2 linked regions of the Nothobranchius furzeri genome follow. The protein of the gene in region 1 binds, or shares a complex with, the protein of each later gene. Links are inferred from orthologs where the notes say so. Each region holds a gene or a part of one and is shown in the gene's direction. Other genes may lie near its edges.

Region 1 (10,708 bases):
AAACCAAAAATAAATATTAGATTATTTTCTTATTAAAATATAACTTTTAAAGGAAATACCTTCACTCTGCACACATCTAAACACTCAGTGGAGGTATTATTTAAAAAACACACAGCTTTTTATTAAACTGTTCCATTTTCAACCTTTAATAATATTTGATTTTTTGAGTGAAATTATAAAGATTTTACTAGATATGTTTAATTTAAGATCACTGTGCCATGATGTCACTTCCTGTTACCCTAAGCTTCAAAAATGTTATTGATGCAAAAGGACCACCAGTTTGACTACTAGTGGACAAAAGTTATAGGTTTATTCTTATATTTTGTGATTTCTTTATTTTACCAAAATTGAAGCTAGTAAGCTAATAATCTGCACATTATTTTAGTTGTTCATTAGTTCTAGGGTGTGCTTGTGGTGTAGAAGTTCAAAGAAGATGCTCATTTTGTGTGAACACCACAAGCTCCATCTCGTCATTAAAACACAAAAGTTTGCCGACATCCAGGAGCGCACGTCATTTAAGCAGACTGACCATTGTCTGTCTGCAACCCATGATCAGTGATCAATAATCTTTGACCAATTTAACTTTTTTTTGTAGTGTGTTTTATTACACCAAATGATGGGGCGACGGTGACACAGAAGTTAAGTGCTCGCCCCGTAATCGGAAGGTTGCAGGCCTGCTCAGTCTGTCGCTGTCGTTGTGTCCTTGGGCAAGACACTTAACCCGGAAGGACCGGTGGTGCCTGTGTACAGCTGTGAGCCCCAGGGCAGCTGTGGCTACAATGTAGCTCATCACCACCAGGGTGTGAATGTGTGTGTTAATGATTGCGTTGTAAAGTGCCTTGGGGGGTTCCAGAAATCTAGAAGGTGCTATATCAAATACATTTACCAAATGAATTGATATGTTGGGCAGCAGAAGTTCAGAGGGTAGAGTGGGTTGTCCAGTAAACATTGTAGAATTGATCCCGGCTCCCGGCAGAGCACGCTGCCGATGTGCCCTTGGGCAAGATACTTAACCAGAGGTGTGACCAAGTCTCTGCTTTGCAAGTCACAAGTAAGTCACAAGTTTTTCCAGTCAAGTCTCGAGTCAAGTCCAAAGTCAATAATGTGGAAGTCCAGGTGAAGTCATAAGTTATCTGTCAAACTTCAATTTAATGACAATGATAATAAATAAATTCTTAAAGTAAAACTTCTTAAAGCTTAATTTATTTCCTCAAACAAGTAGAAAGTGCAGCTGAAGTTGATTGTAAGCAAAGTGCTGCTGCATTTAGCAATAAATCAAACCCAGAACAAAGAATGATTTATGATTTTTGTCCATGCCGTGCCACTTTTGTGCTAAAATATCAAATATGCTCAAGTCATCATCAGGTCAACAGATGCAAGTCGATTCAAGTCACAAGTCATTGGCGTTCAAGTCCGAGTCAAGTCGTAAGTCTTTATAATTTTATCAAGTCAAGTCAGAAGTCATTAAAATAATGACTCAAGTCTGACTTGAGTCCAAGTCACGTGACTCGAGTCCACACCTCTGCACTTAACCCACCTTGCCTGTTGGTGGTGGCCAGAGGGACTGGTGATGCCAGCGTACGACAGACTCAGGCATCTAACTCTTCTGCCACCATCTCTGTTTCGTCTTCAGTTATATCAGGCTTACCAGAGGTGAGAAGAAGACAGCAGGAAATGAAGTGTCATTTCCTGATATTTGGACATCTAATCTCTGATTAGTTAACAGCAATTCAACTCCACTACAGACTACATTTATGTTTAATCTCCACAAATAACTCAAACCGGAAGGAGTTCTGCCATATTGTGGAGTTGCTAATGCTAACGATTAGCTTCTATTAGCCGAGACATGCTCTGCTCTCTCCTGGATGCTAAATGAACAACAAACTTCCCAGTCACAAGTCAAGATGGGTAGGGATGAGTACCGAATTCGGTACTTTTTAAGGTACCGACCGAATTCCATAGTACCGACCGAACACCGATTCACGTCATTTCAAACGGTGCCTCGTTTCGGTACTGCCAAGACAGTTGCGCATGCGCAAGAGCGTTATGTTGCCGGTCCCTGCGAGCCCGTTGTAAACAGAGCAAGCATGGTAGAAAGAACGCACGCTAAAGCTTGGGTCCACTTCACTAAATGTGATGGGTAACTGGGTGATGAAACTAGCGACAGACAACGATCTAAGTGAGACATCCTCATCTTAATCTGCTCCAGTAGGTAAATAAAATGTTTAAGATAACGTTACCTTGATTTGTTAGCTTCCGTTTCGCTAATGGTGCGTTCGCTTTCTCCTCGGAACTCCGAATTTCCGACTAGAAGAACATGAACGCGCTCTAAAGTTTGGCTTTACTTTACTAAATGCGACGGGTGAATGGATGAAGGTAAAACCAGCGACAACGATCTAAGTTTGAGGCATCATCGTTTTAATCTGCTCCATCAGCTAAATAAACTGTTAAAGATAACGTTAGCTTGATATGTTAGCTTCCATTGCCACCGTTGTTACCAGCTAATGGTGCGTTCGCTTTCTCCTCGGAAATTCTTACTTCCCAGTAGGAAAAATCAAATGAAAAAGGACGGCAAAAGGAATGAAGATACACAGTAAATTTAGTTCACAGTAAAGATGTTTGCTTCAGTTTAATTATCAGCTTATAAAACTACAAGGACGATGTTAAAATACAAACTTGTATGTTATTTATCGTGATATTTATCAAATATGGTTATATATATATATATTGAGAAAAATATATATTTAATTATAAAAGAGAATTAAAATAATAAACACTCAAAAGTATCGAAAATTGGTACCGTTAAGTACCGGTATCGACTCGTAGGTACCGGGAATTAGTACCGGATCGATTCAAATGTCAAAGGTACCCATCCCTAAAGATGGGTGATCCTTGAAAGGTAATCTTCAATGTGACATAGAACTGACTGTCTTTTCTGATCCGAGCCTTTGCCTGTCTATTCTCTGTCAGCGACTAAAGCAGGAAATTGGGACAGAAGAATATTTTCATGTTGCCCTGCGATGGACTGGCTCTCTGTCCAGGGTGTACCCCGCTTGATTGCCCATTGACCGCTGGAGATAGCAGCCCCCCCGCGACCCTACATGGACAAAGCGGGTTCAGACTATGGATGGATGGAATATTTTAATGTTTAGCTTGCATGTTTCAGAAAGACCGATCATTTATATACATATATAAAAAAGTAAATAATGGTTTCTCGATAAACTTGGTCTTGAAGAATTTCACAATTACAGAAGCTGAGCTGCAAAATTCTTAAACTTTACCAATATTACATTTTTACTTTTGGTAAGACAAATGTTGTGTGTGTTTTTAACATCAACGTATTTAATATAAACTTAATGTTTTGAAGTGGGTTGAGTTTAGGGCTGAAATAAACCATACCTAGATTGTAGAAATCTTTTTTTTCAAAGCCTTATTTTAACTTTTTTAAATTAATTCACTTTTGCAGCGACATAATAAACGCTTCTAGTTTATCTAAACAGTTTTGTCATCTTTGTTCATTAGGACCAAAGTGTAAATCCTCCACATTTACAAAAAAAAAAAAAAGTTTGCATGTTTGTTAGGATTATTAACCTGAGCCTCGGATCCCCACAGGAACTGGGAATGCTGCTGCTGCTGTTCCTTTTCCTCCAGCCAGCCGGGAAGCAGCGCTCTCCTCCCGCAGACCGTCAGGCTGTCCCGACTGCCCAGGCTGGCAGGCAGTGGCGACGGCAAAGGACACGACTCGCGGACCGCTAAAGTGGAAAACACCGAAGAAACCTCTGAAACTTGGACATAAACCACGAATGTTTAAGTTTGGATTTCCCAAACGGACCAGGAACGTCGCAGACAGCTCGGTGTTGGCTGGAAGTTTCCGAGTCGAACGGAACGCAGCCGGGATGTGGTGACGAGACTCCACCGGGAAGCTAACGCTAGCCGGGAGACAAACACTACATCGGTTTCTTAGATCTCAGGAGATCTACTTCGGGATTTATTGTTTTAGAAATCAAATAGTGCGTTTTGTGTCGCACATTCTATAATGTTATGTACTTTTATATGAGATTTAGCTCAAAAGTTACTAAATTAAATTGGCGAGCGTTAGCTACCTAGCAGGCTAGTAGCTGCCGACTTTAAGCTGACTTCAAGCCAAAGATTTCTGTTTCAAATTAACTAGCTAGGCTGCAACAGTTTCCACGTCAGCTGACTCCATCAGCACCCGTGGGCCAGTTAAGAAATGCTACTTTTATCGAGTTTTGCTTCATATTTTACGGTGGCCGTTTGTCTTGTGACGCAAAGATAAACACTTGACTTCCAAATTCAGGTATGCGATCTTCGAATCACCAGCTCTCTTATCAGCTAGCATGCTAACGCCAAGTTAGCCGGCCAAACTTGGGAATACTACCCCCTGCTCACTTTGTGGGTTTGAGGCCTTAAGGAAATCATCCTGTTTTTTCTTCCCAGAAGACCCCATTTCAGCCTTAATCTTGGTGTCTGAACGGGATTTACATGTTTTAAATGACTGGATGTTTCAGAAGTCTCTGAAGGCTGTTGGATTTGTTTAACTTCATTTACAAAACGTGGATTTTAAAGAGTTTGGATTAACGCTAAACTGCAAAGGTGAGTCCAACAGTATGGTTTATGTTACTTTGTGCTGTCAGTCACTTTATTTTAGTAAATTCGACAGAACTTTACATCTTTGTTTGGGTCAGAATGATCCAAGTTTGGTTTATCTTGATGTAATGATGAATAACTCCAGTACTGTTCAGAATCCCACCCCCCTCTCCAGGCCTTTAAAGTTGGTCTTTAACATGTTTGTTTACTTCTTCCTGACTATTCTCAAAGAAATGGCATCACATAGTTTATTAAACCACTTTAGTCTATAAATTATGCAGTTAATGAAATACTTCTTAACTCAAATGATGAAGCAGAGTTGTGTTGATTCATTTACTTTGTTATCCCTAAATCCTGACCTATGGTAGATGTCCACCTGGAGGATCCATGAGAGACCTGAAACTACTTCATTCATCGCACACTTTCCCATTTTTCCACAGACTGAGAGCTCTTCCGTAATCACCTTGTTAGAATATAATTTCCTGTGTTTCAAATAAACAAAAAGTTCTTAAAATGGTACACCACGAGGACTGGGATTAAGTTAAAAAGCAGCCAGTTTGAGAAAGGTTGATTTGGAAAATGGCTGCACTTGAGTTTGACTGCTGGGAGGGAAATCTAGGGAAGAGGCCTGAATTAAGAGTTTTCAACTTTACCTTAGATGTCAACAGTTGGCTAGGTCAGTGATTCCAAAAGTTTGGGTCGGGATGCTACTACAGGTTCTAGGTATTACACCCGGGGGTCGAGATGATCTTCAGAACTCAAACTAAAGAATAACTTCTGTTTACTATCGCTGATGTAAAAGCCTAAACAAATACGAGGCAAACCATTTCTGTTTATTTAGCCTTGAAGCCGTGTTTGGGATTGTGAGTCAGAGTCGGAGGTGTTTGGGCCTACGGGTCTGGATGAAGAACACTGATAACTGGTTAAAGGGATTTAAGGATAATTGTTCCTCCGAGTCTTTGATCCAGGTTTCGATTTGTTATCCCTAGTTTTTTTGTGTCTCTCCTGAATTGCTCACCATCTGTCACTACCTCTCATTGATGCTGAACGACCCTCCCCCATACAGCTGATTCTGAGTGGCTTGACCTCAATATGACAACACTGGTTCTGCATTTTTGCTTCCAGTAAATTAGGTTAAGTTTAACTCAGAAACCGTGTTTATCACATGAAACTAGCTGTTTCTGATAAGAGCTAATTAGGAATGGCAGATTGAGTTTTGTCTTGTTAATTAGCATGTAACAAACAGAGTGCTGCTGAGCTCTGGGTTCACCCAGCTGGATGCATCCTAGATGAAGAAGCCTTTCGGCGGCTGGAAGAGTCAACTGCTGGAAATATTAGCTCTCCAAGAGTTCCTACAGGACTTGTCCCCATTCCTAGGTTGTTGTTCCGTGTAGGTGTGTTAAATCCAGCTCACATGATTCCTGGGCAGTGTGTCTGGCTTTGGTCTACAGACTGTAAGCCCCTTGGTGTTCAGGCTGGTAGAGGTTGGTAGCTGCAGCGTAGAAATAATCACAAAACCTCCAGGTTTCTGATTGGTCACCTGTTTGGGTTAACCTAAAGTTGGCTCATAAGCTTCCCTCCATCCCAACAGCCTACTGGATATTTTCTTTAGCCACCTGCTTAGGAAACAACCTGCTGAGACCCTTTCTGCTCAGTCTTTAAAGTTTGCTGATTAAAAGATTTGGACCTTTGAACTTGTGTGATGCTTTATCTCGGATGTGTTCAGACAGGTTTGTAAAAACAGTTGGTTTTAAACCAGAACTTTTATCAGCCTGAGCAGTTTGTCCTCTGACCTGTACCGGCTGTTTGGACGTGAGCTAATTTACAGTCAATGACTATTTTTTTAAAATCTTTTCCCATTTTTTTCCAGCCATAATTTACTTTCATAATCTAATCTAATATATTAGGGCAAACCTCACAGATGGAGAAAACCTGTCTCTGAACTGCAGCAACGGCTTTGGAGCCGCGACCTCTGACGGAAGGCCCCTCAAACCCACAGGGTCACGTTTTTAAATGAACATCTGACACTTAAGTTGTTCAAAGATACAAAAACCAAAGAAGCAGCCAATCACCTGACTTGACTTCCAGATTTTCATCTTCAAACTTTAATTCTGTCATTTCTCTCTACCTCTGGCTGCAGATGATGTGCGAGGTGATGCCCACAATCAGCGAGGCCGAAGGGCCTGGTGGGGGGAACGGTACTGGGCGCCGAGGCTCCGGCTCTCCTCTGCAGTCAGACTCTGAAGGGCACTTTGAGTCGTTGATGGTTTCCATGTTAGAGGAGCGGGATCGCCTTCTGGACACGCTGAGAGAGACTCAGGAGAATCTGGGCCTGACCCAGAGCAAACTGCATGAAGTTAGCCATGAAAGAGACTCGCTGCAGCGGCAGCTGAACACTGCCTTACCTCAGGTCAGTCCTTATGCAGAAATAGCATACCTGCATCATTAATAGTCATTCATTTAAAGGTTAAACTCCTGTTTTCTCTTGTCAAACCTTATTGGTGTTGGGTTTGGGTCATGAAACATAAGAATTTTCAAATCGGTTCATTATTTCACTTTGTGTAATCACCACTGCTCTTAGTTGCTGCTAACCCATTCGTGCAACCTGGTTGTTTAAGAGCATAAACATAAATAATTATGGTAATTGTTTTTAAATCAGGGAAATCCTGGAAACTGGTTTGAACTCTTAAAGCAGCTGGAAGCCGGTGAAACATAGATGTGGATTTTCATTTGAACATTATAAACAACTATAACTGAGGCAGCGCTGCAGCCATAGCAACACTTACCTTCAAGTGTTTCCCATATTCATCTGGACATTCCTCCTTAAACTCATTTGAAACTTGGATCAAAATATATCCCTGTCCCGCAGATCACCCATCTTTATTAGAATAAACATCTGTTTTAAATACATTTTTGCTTATTTTTCACCAGCCACACCTTTAGGCGTGGTTACCTGGAACGGGACTGACAAAGGTCACTGAGTCACTTTGCCCTTCTTTGTTTTTTATTGTTCTTTTTTTTTTTTTTTTTTTTTTTTTAGCTTTCCAATGTTTGGGTTTCACACACGCACGCACGCACGCACGCACACACACACGCAAATTGTTTGCAATCTGAGCTCAGAGAGATAAACGCCTCCTGCTCTGGTAGCGATGTGAGGACTGGGCTGCTTGTGAGTGCTTCGGCTGGGGGGCGGGGCCCACAGCAGCACTTGTGAGAAGAACATCTGGTTTTACATCAGCATGACCAGATTAGTCTGCAGACCTGTCTGACAACCTGAAGACTGACTGGATGTAGCTACTACTTTGAGGACAGGTGAACACCTGGAAAGGTAGCAATTTATGGGCCATTCCCACCTGTACCGGGTCGGCCCGGGCCGGGTAGCCCCAGTCGGCCCCAGCCTGGCCCGGTTGATTCCACACATCCTTGTCTTAAGCCCATGTGGGCTGATTCTACCCACCGATCAGAGGCTTGCTCTAATGGAAGGTGTGAATTTGCTGTCAGCAGTGGGTGTGTTGGCCCTGGTCGGCCTGAAGCAGACCCCCTCGAGAAGAGGGCTGAGAATGAGCCTTGGTTGGCCTGGAAAATTACCAGGCCACCCAGATATGTAAACAACCTACGCTACCTGGTCCGGGCCGACCCGGTACAGATGGGAATGGCCCAATAGAGACACATGTGAACAAAGAGAACTTACAAAATGAGATGATGGTGGAAACCCCCTCCATGCAGTGAAGCAGCATCCATTATATATTAATAGGTAACTGTAGAACATACAGTGCTTTTTTTACCTCGACTTTGCATACGATCACCATATATTCAGTCCTTTACGCTAATGAGTTCGTGATGGTCGTTTTTCAGTTTCTGCTATTTTCAGCCCTGATGAAGCAGCAGCCTCTCCTTTGTCCTTTGGTTTGCAGGTCTTTGTTATATTAATTACTGCTGGTTTTACTCAGCAGGGTTTTATATTCATAAAGACAGGTTCAGGTTTCCACCTTTAAATTATGGATGGGAGAACAGCACACAAGTCTGGTCATCTAGTAAATATTGCTGCAGCTTTACTAGAACATGTTTCCACTACAGAGAGCCCGTGTGTGTCAGATTTTACTAAAAAAGGGAGGGAAGTGACAGCCGTGCAGGCTGAGAGCAACAGCAGAGTTGGAGAGGCTGCAGAGCCGATTGTAGCATCGTCCTAAAGGGAGTTCTGCTGAATTCTCACCAGAAAAATTCAGCCCAAACTTCGGCTCTTAAAACTCTTTCACTATAATTAGTCCTCAGATTTTTGTTATGTAAACAAAAATGATAGTAGTACAGTAGACCTGAGTAATATTCTCAACCTAATTTACATCCAGAGGGATTATTTCTTGACAAATTAAAGAAAAACATTACATCCAAACATTAGCTGTTTTTTATTAAAGGTGTAGTTGACTGAAAAAGCATTCTTTTTCTGATTATAATCAATCACTCTGAGTTTTTCACACAAGCTGAACCTATAAATAGTCTCCTACACCTATCTCCTGCATTAGCTTCTGATAGAAAATAGGCAGTGAAACCCTAGGATTCGAACATCGTCGCAGATCTACGTCACACTGTGATTTAGCGTTCGTGGACTCACCCATCTTGACTAATGACAGGGAAGGCTGTTGTTATTTTAACGTCCAGGAATCAGCAGCGGGCGTCTCTAAGTTTAAGCTAACTATTAGCATTAGCAACACCACCACACAGTAGAAGCTCCTCCAGGCTTGCGCTACTTGTGTAGGTAAAACATCCACGTTTCAAGTCAGTGGTAGTCACATTCACTAAAAACCTGCTGTCTGAGGCCTAGTCCACACGTAGCCGTTTTTTTTTTAAACGAATATCCGCCCCTCCAAAAACTTGCATCCACACCACCTCGTTTAAAAAAAAACTCTGTCCACACGTACCCGGATAAATACGTTGTTAAGGACATGCCAGACCTGTAGGCGGCAGTACTTCCCCCGAATTGTATCCAGTCAGCATCGTCTGTGGTCTTCCGCAAGGAGCAGTAATTCCGCTTGCAAAAACAAACAAGCAAAAAGCGCTTGGACAATTGATAAAGCGAGCGCAGCTCTGAGGGCATCCATGCTGTCGGCTAGTGTAAACACAGGTACACACGTGATGTCAGCATTTTTTGTCGCGGAAAGTGACGTTGCGGACCTTAAAACTCCGGTTTTGTCTGTCCACACGCAGACACCCAAAACGGAGAAAACGCAGATCTTCACTTTGGCCGGAGTTTTTAAAAAGATCCGTTTTCGTGTGAAAAAACTCTGTTTTTGTGTGGATGACAGGCCAAAACGTAGAAAAATATCTACGTTTTGGCAGATCCCCGGCTACGTGTGGACAGGGCCTGAAGCTCAGCTGTGATATGGGAAACTTTTAGATCTGAGCAGCAGTATGCAGCAGTATGACTTAAACCTGATTTATACTTCCGCGTCGGTGCGAACACGCAACGCCATTATGCATTGGCATAAGAGCTCCCCGACAGGCTCACAGAGGGTGACGAAAACATGCCGAAATTTGTAACAATCCATCCAAGATGAGGGAGACCGCAAGCTTGTGACTGGTCAGGACGCTACTTCCAGTAAATTAGTCGACAGCACCACCTTTGCCCCCTCGAAAACTAAAAAGAACAGATTAAAGAACACATTGCAGAAAAAGTCTGAAAATATGAACGTTTATTCACCCGTTACTGAAGGAGTACAAAGACATGCAGCAAGCATTTTATTTGTGGACGGAAAAGAAGAGAAACTTGAGTTTAGAGGTGCCGATGGCATGAAGAGGTGGATGGGGACAAATTTGTGTTCAAAAGTCTCTGAAATGTAATGTAGTAATGTAAACACAATATTAGATACACTTTCCTAGACCGGATAGGTGACTTTAACAGTGGCAGGATAATTCAGAATGCCGCCACGCCCTCTGTTGTCCTGGCGGGGAATTGTTTAGCAACAGTCCCGAGCTGACGGAGAGGTCCGAGAGCAAACGTCTGTCAGTGCATTTGCGTCTCTCTTTCGCAGAGCTGCCTGAGACGTATAAATTAGGCTTCACGAGAACGACTTACAAGGCGTTCATTCCTACTAGACTCTAGTAG
Region 2 (10,700 bases), on another chromosome or scaffold:
CCCTCTCCCCTACATTTTCCCTTTGCCAGAGTCCCTCTTCATATGGTTTCAGTCTAGCACATAAAAATGCACACACACACACACACACACACACACACACACACACACACACACACACACACATACACACACACACACACACACACACACACACACAGTGGCTTTCAGGAGATGTGTGTGGTAACTCAAATACTTTTTTAGACATTCCAGACAATAAAACTTTTGTTTTGTCAATAAATTAAAAACTGTTCCACTCCTCACATGAAAAAACGTATGACTGTGTGTGTGTGTGTGTGTGTGTGTGTGTGTGTGTGTGTGTGTGTGTGTGTGTGTGTGTGTGTGTGTGTGTGTGTGTGTGTGTGTGTGTGTGTGTGTGTGTGTGTGTGTGTGTGTGTGCTTTCATGACATAGACCCCAGCTCCAAATCTGTAAATAATCATCTCGTCCACAGCCCCCTCCCTATGAAGTAACTGCACAGTTCTTTTTTTTTTTCTTCTTTTGCAAAATGGTTTCATTTTGACTGGATTTAGGGGGAAATGTTCCTACAAGTTACTTTTCATTAATTCTGTTTGGTTGTTATGTTAAAGTCAGCAACTGAGAGAGATCGACGCTGGCTTTAGGGGTTTTTAGTTGTCGGGGGTTTGATGCTGGCCCTGTGTCAAACGCAAACGCAGACACCCCCCCCCCCCCCCCCACCCGCCCACCCCGTCTCCACACTGCTCAAACAACAATTTCAAGATGTTTTATTTCAATTTAAAGAACACACTCTTACTGTCTTCTCAGAAACACACAGCTGTAGGAGGCTCCCTGTGTGGAGGTAAAAACCCAAATAAAGTCAGATTTTGGGGTAACTGAATGGATCAAACGGGAGAAGGGATGATGTAGGGAGTTAGTGTGAGTTTCTGTGCTGAAACATGATCTAACATTCACATATCGACCACAGTGAGGTCAAAGGTCAGAGCCAGCTGCTTACAGGAACCAAGAGTCTCAGTAGGAGATTAAATATTGATTTTACTTTCAGATCTAAACTTATTATGATAATAGAGGCTTTTGTTCCACTTTATGAGCAGTTCTCTGCCCAACCAGAGCGGGGCAGCAGCAGAGCCTCACGCAAATGCCCCTCTCTCTCTCTCTCTCTCTCTCTCTCTCTCTCTCTCTCTCTCTCTCTCTCTCTCTCTCTCTCTCTCTCTCTCTCTCTCTCTCTCCTGGAGAGGGAACGTCTCAGAGGTTTGAAGGTGGGAGGGGAGAGGGTCTCCTGTCTGCTCCTTTGTCATGGGAAGACTTTCCTCTGCTGTTTCAGACAGACGGAGGAGTTCAGCTCCAACTCCAACTCGCGCTCATCAGAGAATCTTTAGACATGTAACTGAGGTCAGTCTCTCTTCTTTTATCTACAAGTTGTTTACTCAGGAGCATATTTGATGCAGGCTTGCAGAATTACATAATCAGCATGAGATGACACAAACACATCTGCACTAAGCTGGAAAAGTTTTCTGTTCAACTTTAATCGATGACATCTGAACTCAGATTTAAAACAATTCAAATGTTTCTTTAATGCACCAAAACTTTACAACGTTAAGAAAACCAGCTCATTCATGTAACATATGAAATACAGATGTTAGTGCTCAAAAACAAACAAATCATGAATGATTTTTGTAATCTGATTACATCCTGTGTTTGTTCAGGCTTTGCTCTGTTTAGATGTCAAAATGTTTTCCTAAAAACATGAAATAATAAAATGTCTGTTGGGTTGACTGTCAGACTGTTTTCCTGCACCAGTTTTTGTGGTTTGACTTTTGTACGTTCAGATTTTTAAATAATTGCTTTTTCATGCTCGTAAAGTTTTCCACAAGTTGTCCTTTTCTTTCCACGGAAAATTAACTAACGCTTGTCTGAACGAGCGAAGCAAGCGAGGCCGTTAGGGTTGGGGCTTTCTTACACAATCTGGGAATACTTTTCCTCAGATGAAAGATGTCTTATCAGCCATCATTCCACAAACTGTTTACATCTCCTAGTGTGTTTCTGATGAGCCTGCAGAGCTGCAGCGTAGCTGATGCAGCAACACCTCCAGCCTTTTACTTGATGCTCGGGGGTGGGGGTGGGGTGGGGGGGTGGGGTGGGGGGGGGGTCCTTCTCCTCTCTCCCCTCCTTCTTTCTTGGAGGTCTGGAGAATGAACTCATGCTGACTGGATGCATGAGTGTGTAAGTGGATACCCTGCTTCCTGTTGGCTCTCTCTCTCTCTCTCTCTCTCTCTCTCTCTCTCTCTCTCTCTCTCTCTCTCTCTCTCTCTCTCTCTCTCTCTCTCTCTCTCTCTCTCTCTCTCTCTCTCTCTCTCTCTCTCTCTCTCTCTCTCTCTCTCTCCAGACAGCAGGACCAGAGCCTCTCAGATCAGCCTTTCTCTGGGGATTCAGAAAAAAGTTATGTCTGACTTTCAACACCATCCTGAACTAGACCAGGGATTTGTGGGTTGATTTATTCATTTTTGGTCCAAGAACCACACAGTTCTTCACTTAGAGCAAGGGTGTCAAATATGCGGCCCGCGGGCCGGATCCGGCCCACAAGCGGGTTAAATCCGGCCCGCGGGATGGTTGTGTAAACTTTATTTTCATACTTTACAATGTAGAGTGAAAATAAACTTATCGTTGTGAGCAAGTTTTCTCTGTAATGAGTATAAATAAAACAAAGCTGCGCTCAAGGCTCACACAAGAACTTGAATCACATCCTGAAGTTGGCTGTCACTCAGAATGTGACTCCTGATATTGATGTGCTGGTGAAAGCTAAACAATGTAAAGTAAAATGAGTCAAATATACTTTAAGTGCTGCATGAAACTGATCTTGCCATGTGATCTGTAAGCTCTTTGAATCACTAAGGAATGTTTTTTTAATTTTTTTTTTTTTTTTTCAAATTTTCAAGTACACTTCAGGTGTTGTACTTGTACTATTTTGGATACACTGTCCTCAGGCTCCAGCCTTGTTTTATATTGATTGTATTAAAACAAAGAAAACTATCTGAAGTTTTTTTTAATTTACCGGTCCGGCCCACTTGGGACTAGATTTCCCTCAATGTGGCCCCTGAGCTAAAATGAGTTTGACACCCTTGCCTTAGAGCCTTTGGCTGTGTAGAGTTAAAACATCATTAATGTGCAACGTGCTGCCTTTCAGACTTCACTGGGAACTGTAGCCAGACCCTAAAGCTCAGGATCTGTTTAAACACTTTGTCTCTGGGAATGGGAACATCTGGAATATCCACTGGGACTTCCTGACTGAGAAATAAACATTTGACTTTTATTAATGGAGCTATACAATATTTGTTCTTCACCTTTTATATCTGCTATGGTGCTTATATCTATGCAGAGAAACGATTAAGCATAGACTTCCACAACAAAGCAGACCCCCTAGTGCTTGGTGTTGTGTGTGACTGAGACCACATCGGTAAATATCTGTAAAAACAAACAATTATATCCATTTGAATGTTTTCTATTAGCCTTGACCACCATCTTGAATGGGGTGGGCTTTAGGTTATATTGCAGTCATCCATGTGTTTTGGGTCTTTGTCAGCGTTTGCTCCTATTTGCGAGACCAACGTTTATCTTTTTACCAGGTTAGCCTGAAGAAGGAACTGCCAGAGAGAGCTGGTGGGCCCCCTTGTGTTGGGCGAATGTCCGCCGGGCTTGTTTCCTGTTCGTTTGATCGTTTCTGATGCGATGCCTCAGTCCATGATGTAATCGTGTACTTTGTAGTTTTGTGATTTGACTTACTTGAGACTTCCCTGTTTAGTTTTCTGAAGCAGCAACACTTTAGGGGTGGGCGAGGCTGTAGACAGCATGATGAAGGAGCTTTTAAATGTTTTAATTTTTAATCAGTTAGCTCTGATGTAGCAACAGCTGTTGGTTAGAGTGACACTTTTTATTCAACTTTGATCTGAGCTCACCAGGAAATGCCCGCTCTCCCTATCGGAGCTCAAACACAGATACAACATGAATCTATGTCAGTGTGTCGCTGGTCGGCAGGCTGAGCGTTTCTTATTGATCTTGTCTCCTTTGTCAGGCAGGAATCCTCCACCCTTCGCTCTGCTCCCCTGAAGAAGAGGAGGTCACTAATGAACAGCATGCTTCCTCAGAGGAGCTCTGTCTCCGCTCTGGGCTTCGGCTCGGGTAAGACTCACGAGTTATATTTGGACATTAAGGGATATGTGTAATTACATGTGTTATAAATCTGGGGTCTTGCCACACTCGTTTTGACACTTTCACCACTCAGCTAGTTAATCAGTCATCCTCAGGATTTTTCTGTCAGCTGAGACGATGGTGTATTCTGCCTTGTCTTGGTTCACCAGCATTCTTCCATTTTTAGAAGAGACTTAACCGATGACTGAGCCTCTGTTTGTGTTGGCCTCAGACTTGTGTGAGCGTACATTCCCCACTGGTTTTCCCCTCTTACTCAGCGTAAAAGTGGTTGCATATCATTTAGGCCGGTTTCCCTTTATGTGGGTTAGAGGCCTTTGATTAAGTCAAAAGAGGAACAGAACTTCATGCTCTGTCAACTTTCTGTTTTCTGCAGACTGTGTGAAGATTGAGCACAGCAGCGGTAGGTCAGTGGGGGGGACACTGCTGAGGGGCTCTCGCTCTAAAGCGGAACTTCAAGAGCTGATGGAGACGCTGCAGCGCAGGAAGAGTGCACTGGAAGCCAGCCTGAGGGCAGCGGAGTGCAGCCGCAAGTACCTGGGCCAGTCCACCAGGCCGCTGTCGGTCCTCAGCAGCACAGAGAAGCCTCCGTCTGTCTCCAGAAACTTTTCTTACATCAGCAGCAGTAGTGTGCCTCCATCACCGCGTCAGGGAGAACGCCAGATTGGCTCTAATGGTTTGCTTCGTCACTCCTATTCTCGCCACCAGTCACAGGACAGTTTGCTGCTCTCTAATGCAGCAGATGGGAGCTCCCTGCTCTCCTCCTACGGAGAAACAGGGCCTCGTTCTCCAAGGGTCAAGAGCGGAGCAGCAAGTATGCCATCCAGCCCTCGAATGGGCCGTAGGCTCTACTCTCAGGGCAGAGCTGGAGGAGACTCCAGACAGAGGAAATATTCCACCGGCTCCCTCAACAATCTGGGGATGCACAGCCGCTCTTTGCCTCGACTTCACAACGCAGCAGAGCCCCCGGCTCTCTCGCTGCCATCCCGTCACTCAGTGGGTTCTCACAGAGGAGCGGTGTCGGTGGGTCAGAGACGCAGTCTTTCCTCCCTGGAGCAGCCTCCAGATGTCACAGTACCAGCCAGTATGCCCAGCACATCAAGGAGGTCCAGTTTAGCTTCTCTGAGCTCTCTGGGTGTGGAGATAGATGGGACGGGCCTAGACCTGGGCTTAGGGGAGAGAAGAATGTCCTTTGGGAAGGGTGGATTGAGTCCAGGACAGAGAGTGGGTAGCATCAGTTCTCTGAATGGCAAAGAGGAGCTGAGAGACTACCACCAGCATCAAAGAGATGAGAGACTCAGGGAGCAGAAAGTTCAGCGACTGGTGAGCAGCTCTCTGTTCATTCTCATATGGTTTCATAATTTTATAAAAAACATGGTGAATCTCCTTTGTGCAGGAATGCCAGCGTCTAGAGTCCATCCTGAACCTGTGCACTGAGTTTGGACAGGTGGTGAGAGAGCCAGCGGGCTCAGCTGTTACTGATCTGCAGAAGATCAATAAGGAGCTGGAAAAGCTGCAGGTGTCGGACGATGAATCTGTGTTCTCCGACTCCCCCAGCAGCACCGCTCCAGACTGCAGTTTTGTGGCCAAAGTCAGAGATTTACAGTTTTCTGAGGAGCAGCAGATCACCCAACATCAGCAGAGCAGCTACAGGCAGGCCAGGTCCCTCTCACCAGCTATCAGCCTGAACAGCAGCGCCCCCTCCCCCTCCACACACCACAGAGCCAAGGTATGCTTCTTCTGACCATAACCCATCCATCCATCCATCCATCCATCCATCCATCCATTCATTCACCCATTCATCCATCCATCCATCCATGCATTCATTCATCCATCCATTCATCCATCCATCCATCCATCCATCCATCCATCCATCCATCCATCCATCCATCCATCCATCCATCCATTCACCCATTCATCCATCCATCATCCATCCATCCATGCATTCATTCATCCATCCATTCATCCATCCATCCATGCATTCATTCATTCATTCATCCATCCATCCACCCATGCATTCATTCATCCATTCATCCATCCATCCATCCATCCACCCATGCTTTCATCCATTCATCCATCCATCCATCCATCCATCCGCCCATGCTTTCATCTATTCATCCATCCATCCACCCATGCATTCATCCATCCATCCGCTCATCCATCCATCCATGCATTCAACCATTCATCCATCCATCCATCCACCCATGTTTTCATCCATTCATCCATCCATCCATCCGCCCATGCTTTCATCTATTCATCCATCCATCCACCCATGCATTCATCCATCCATCCGCTCATCCATCCATCCATGCATTCAACCATTCATCCATCCACCCATCCATCCATTCACCCATTCATCCATCCATCCATCCATCCATCCATCCATCTTTCATTCATCCATCCATTCATCCATCCATCCATCCATGCATTCATTCATTCATCCATTCATCCATCCATCCACCCATGCATTCATTCATCCATTCATCCATTCATCCATCCATCCATCCACCCATGCTTTCATCCATTCATCCATCCATCCATCCGCCCATGCTTTCATCTATTCATCCATCCATCCATCCATCCATCCATTCACCCATTCATCCATCCATCCATCCATCCATGCATTCATTCATCCATCCATTCATCCATCCATCCATCCATCCATCCATCCATCCATCCATCCATGCATTCATTCATTCATCCATTCATCCATCCATCCACCCATTCATCCATTCATCCATTCATCCATCCATCCACCCATGCTTTCATCCATTCATCCATCCATCCATCCGCCCATGCTTTCATCTATTCATCCATCCATCCACCCATGCATTCATCCATCCATCCGCTCATCCATCCATCCATGCATTCAACCATTCATCCATCCACCCATCCATCCATCAACCCATGTATTCATCCATCCACCCATGTATTCATCAATTCATCCATCCATCCATCTGTAACGATTAAATTTACATATTATTTAATGAACCATAAAATATGAGATTCCATAATAAGAAATATGAAATCAATCTTATGGATCTTTGGATAATTTAAACCAGAAAATTGGAACTTTTTATTGCAGGGATTATGTAACCACTTTGTATTAACTCAGAGACAAAAGAAAGAGAGTCAAGTTTTAAAAGTTTAAAGATTTATTACTAAACAAACTAGACTAACTTTAAACACTAAACACTCTGTGTGATGAATGGATCTAGGGGTGAATGAGGCAAGATGGACGGTGTAGTGTGGAATGTTGTTCAGAACCAGCAAATCCGGAGAAACGATTAGTTCTGATGGGACTGAAGAGGATGTTTCGCGCCAAGCTTTGGTTTGGAGATTTATAACACACATTGAGATGCCATTCTGCCGGCCTACGTACCCTTAGTGGAAGTCCCCGTTAGATCAGGAATGTCGAGGTCCAGCTTGACCTTCTCTGGAACCAAAGCCGGTAGGAAATGCAGCGGTTGTCGGCCAGACCAGTCTTGAGATACTTCCAGGTCACAACAGGTTTATTGGCATCTAGCGAGACCCAAAAAGGGGGTCGTGATGGTTCAGCTTTTATTCTGAAAGGAACCGTTGCAGCAGGGGGAACATGCAACAGATTTATTCCAGCTTGTCGTTAGGTTCTTTCGGCTGAAGAGGAAAGTTATGGATTGGCCACTCCGACAACTTCTCTAGAATGCTTGAACTGAAGTTAAGATGATGTGGGCATAGTTTTATAATTTGGAGGTTTTGATTTACAGTCGAATCAAAAAAGGACAGATTTACAAAGCACCAATAAAACCACGCCATGCATCAGATCTGGAAGGCTCTGATTGGATCAGAAAAAGGAAATGTGTCACGTGATCTTAGCACTACATGTGATCAGTCTCTAGTGGAAATATTTAAAGTTATATTACTTATTATAACTACTGATCATAAACATTGTCACTTCACAGATTGGTTCACATTTTATTTTTGGACTAACACTTTGTTTGATTAGCTTATTAAAAATAGAGAAAGAGTTCTGATTTATTAAAAAGGAAGTGTTCGTCTTCTTCTCTTGAGCTGGAAAATAAGAAACAGCTTAGAAGCAGAGCATGAGACCTTGAGAAATATCTCATGCAGATTAGGTTTGTGTCAAAAACTTGTAGTTTTGCTTTGAGCAGAGCAAAACAGAGCAGGGCCTTTTAGGTCACAAATGGACAATTAATCACACTACACATCCATCCATCCATCCATCCATCCATCCATCAATCCATCCATCCATTTATAAAATGTCGTACCTTCTATTTACTGCAATGTACACACTTGTTACCGGAAGAGTCGTCTCTATCAGAAATGGTTTCATTATTCAAATGTAAACACTCTGACTCTGATACATTAAACGTTTCAACACCACGGCTACATGTTCTACAGCGGTAAGTAAGAGACGGAGATATGCACTAGCTAATCGTGATGATGGTACTTCAGACACTTCGGACATCATAAGTGAAGGTTTTGCCCACAGTGAGGTAACCAAGACTTTTCTCTGCACTTTGTCATTTCCTGTTACAGAATGCTAGTTTAGTTCAGAAAAGCGAAGGTCAAGGTCACGTTTATTTCTAAAGCACACTTATTATTGCTTTTGCAACCCAAAGTGCTGTACAACACACAAGATAATATAGCAAGAAAGGAAACTAAAAACCAAAAAATCATTCAAATTAGCAAGTTAGGATAAAAACAACATTACATCACACAATTATAAAATCAATAAAAATGAGAAAGAATGACAAGGACAAAAATTAAATCATCCTACATAAAAGCCAGGTTGAAGAAATGAGTTTTAAGCAAGGACTTAAATACATCCAGATTTTGAGAGGTCCTGATCTGCAGAAGAAGGCTGTTCCAGAGTGTAGGGCCGGCCACAGAAATTGCCCTATCTTGTCACACCCTGTCCTGTCTCCCCATTGTGTTCAGTCCTGTGTCCATGGTAATTGGTCCCACCTGCCTCTCGTCTCCCAATCACCCAAGGTCCCAGCTCCTCCTGTATTTAAACCCTGTTAGTCCATTTTGTCTGGTTGGCTCATTGTTTCATTGTCCTGCGTGTCCTCCATTAAATCAGTGTTTTAAATGTTTCTGTCTGCCTCCCGGCCTGTTTCTTCCCCTGCACTTGGATCCTCACCACCGTCTCACTCACCGGCACACTGTGACATATCTCCTCTCGCGTTTAGGCGAGTCTTTGGAACTGACAATAAAAACTGTGAGCCCGACCGCTAATTCCTGGCAGAAGTGTAGGTTGACAATAAATCATCTATATAAGGAGGGGCCAGACCATTAAGTGATTTATGAACAAAAAGCAACAATTTAAACTGAATCCTGTAATGCACTGGGAGCCAGTGAAGGGAAGCAAGCACTGGAGAGATATGGTCATGCTTCCTTGTACCTGTTAAAAGGCGGGCTGCCGCATTTTGAACCAGTTGCAAGCGGTTTAAGGAGGAATGCCCTAATCCATAATACAGGGAATTGCAGTAATCTAGTCGACAGGAGACAAATGGGCCATTCCCATCTGTACAGGGTCGGCCTGGGCCGGGTAGCCCCAGTCGGCCCCAGCCTGGCCCGGTTGATTCCACACATCCTGTCTTAAGCCCATGTGGGCTGATTCTACCCACCAATCAGAGGCTTGCTCTAATGGAAGGTGTGAATTTGCTGTCAGCAGTAGGTGTGTTGGCCCTGGTCGGCCTGAAGCAGACCCCCTCGAGAAGAGGGCTGGGAATGAGCCTTGGTTGGCCCGGAAAAATACCAGGCCACCCAGATATGTAAACAACCTACGCTACCCGGCCCGGGCCGACCCGGTACAGATGAGAATGGCCCAAAAGAGATGAATAACATGTTCAAAGACAGTGACCGGCAAATAGCACTTAACCTTTGCAAGCTGCCTCAAGTGATAAAAACCGGACTGGACCACTGCACTTATCTGTCTGTCCAATTTAAACGAACCATCCATAAAAAACCCAGGTTTTTCACATAAAGCTTTACAAAATCCAAAAGGGAACCAAGTGGGCTCACCGCACCCTTTAACAAGTCCAACTCACAGGAGGACCACTGGGATGACCTCCTTTTGTGGAATGCAGTTTAGTCGTGTTTGTTTACCTCCTATAATAGCAGTCATTTCTCCCCATTCCAAGGTAAACTATGTTTCCGATTCCCATTTTCAGAGACAGAAAACATTGAAGCCAAAACTCTGTTTACTTGAATAAAACGCAGAGTCGGATATAACAGCGTTTAATGTGTTGGTGTTGTCTGTAAAACTGTTTTAATGTAAGCCTTTTTGAGACCTTTTCAGTGTTTCCTAGGAAACAGCTTTGCTGATTCTATTATTTGACCTCATTTTAATTTCAACACCTTTTTTGGATTTATTACACTGGCAAGCCTCACCGCTCACGTTGGAAAAATAAATGAACCAGCTTAAATACCCCTTTTGCTCCCAGAGAGGCATCATTTTCCACTCCAGCTCTTCGTTTCCCCCCTGAATAAGCAACAAACTGATGTGTCTGGTTC

The links.
Region 2: ppfia1 (region 1) and phldb2a share a complex: the UniProt entries of both Homo sapiens proteins name them as parts of the cortical microtubule stabilization complex. The link is inferred for Nothobranchius furzeri from reciprocal best matches to the Homo sapiens genes PPFIA1 and PHLDB2.

Annotation. Positions count from the first base shown.
Region 1 is NC_091749.1:65,286,201-65,296,908, reverse strand, and holds the start of ppfia1 (liprin-alpha-1), read left to right. Parts: upstream 1-4,473; 5' UTR 4,474-4,614; intron 4,615-6,748; coding exon 6,749-7,018; intron 7,019-10,708. UniProt on the Homo sapiens protein: May regulate the disassembly of focal adhesions. May localize receptor-like tyrosine phosphatases type 2A at specific sites on the plasma membrane, possibly regulating their interaction with the extracellular environment and their association with substrates.
Region 2 is NC_091750.1:45,865,763-45,876,462, forward strand, and holds the start of phldb2a (pleckstrin homology-like domain family B member 2), read left to right. Parts: upstream 1-1,226; 5' UTR 1,227-1,271; coding exon 1,272-1,367; intron 1,368-4,044; exon of another isoform or gene 4,045-4,048; coding exon 4,049-4,151; intron 4,152-4,554; coding exon 4,555-5,501; intron 5,502-5,574; coding exon 5,575-5,907; intron 5,908-10,700. UniProt on the Homo sapiens protein: Seems to be involved in the assembly of the postsynaptic apparatus. May play a role in acetyl-choline receptor (AChR) aggregation in the postsynaptic membrane.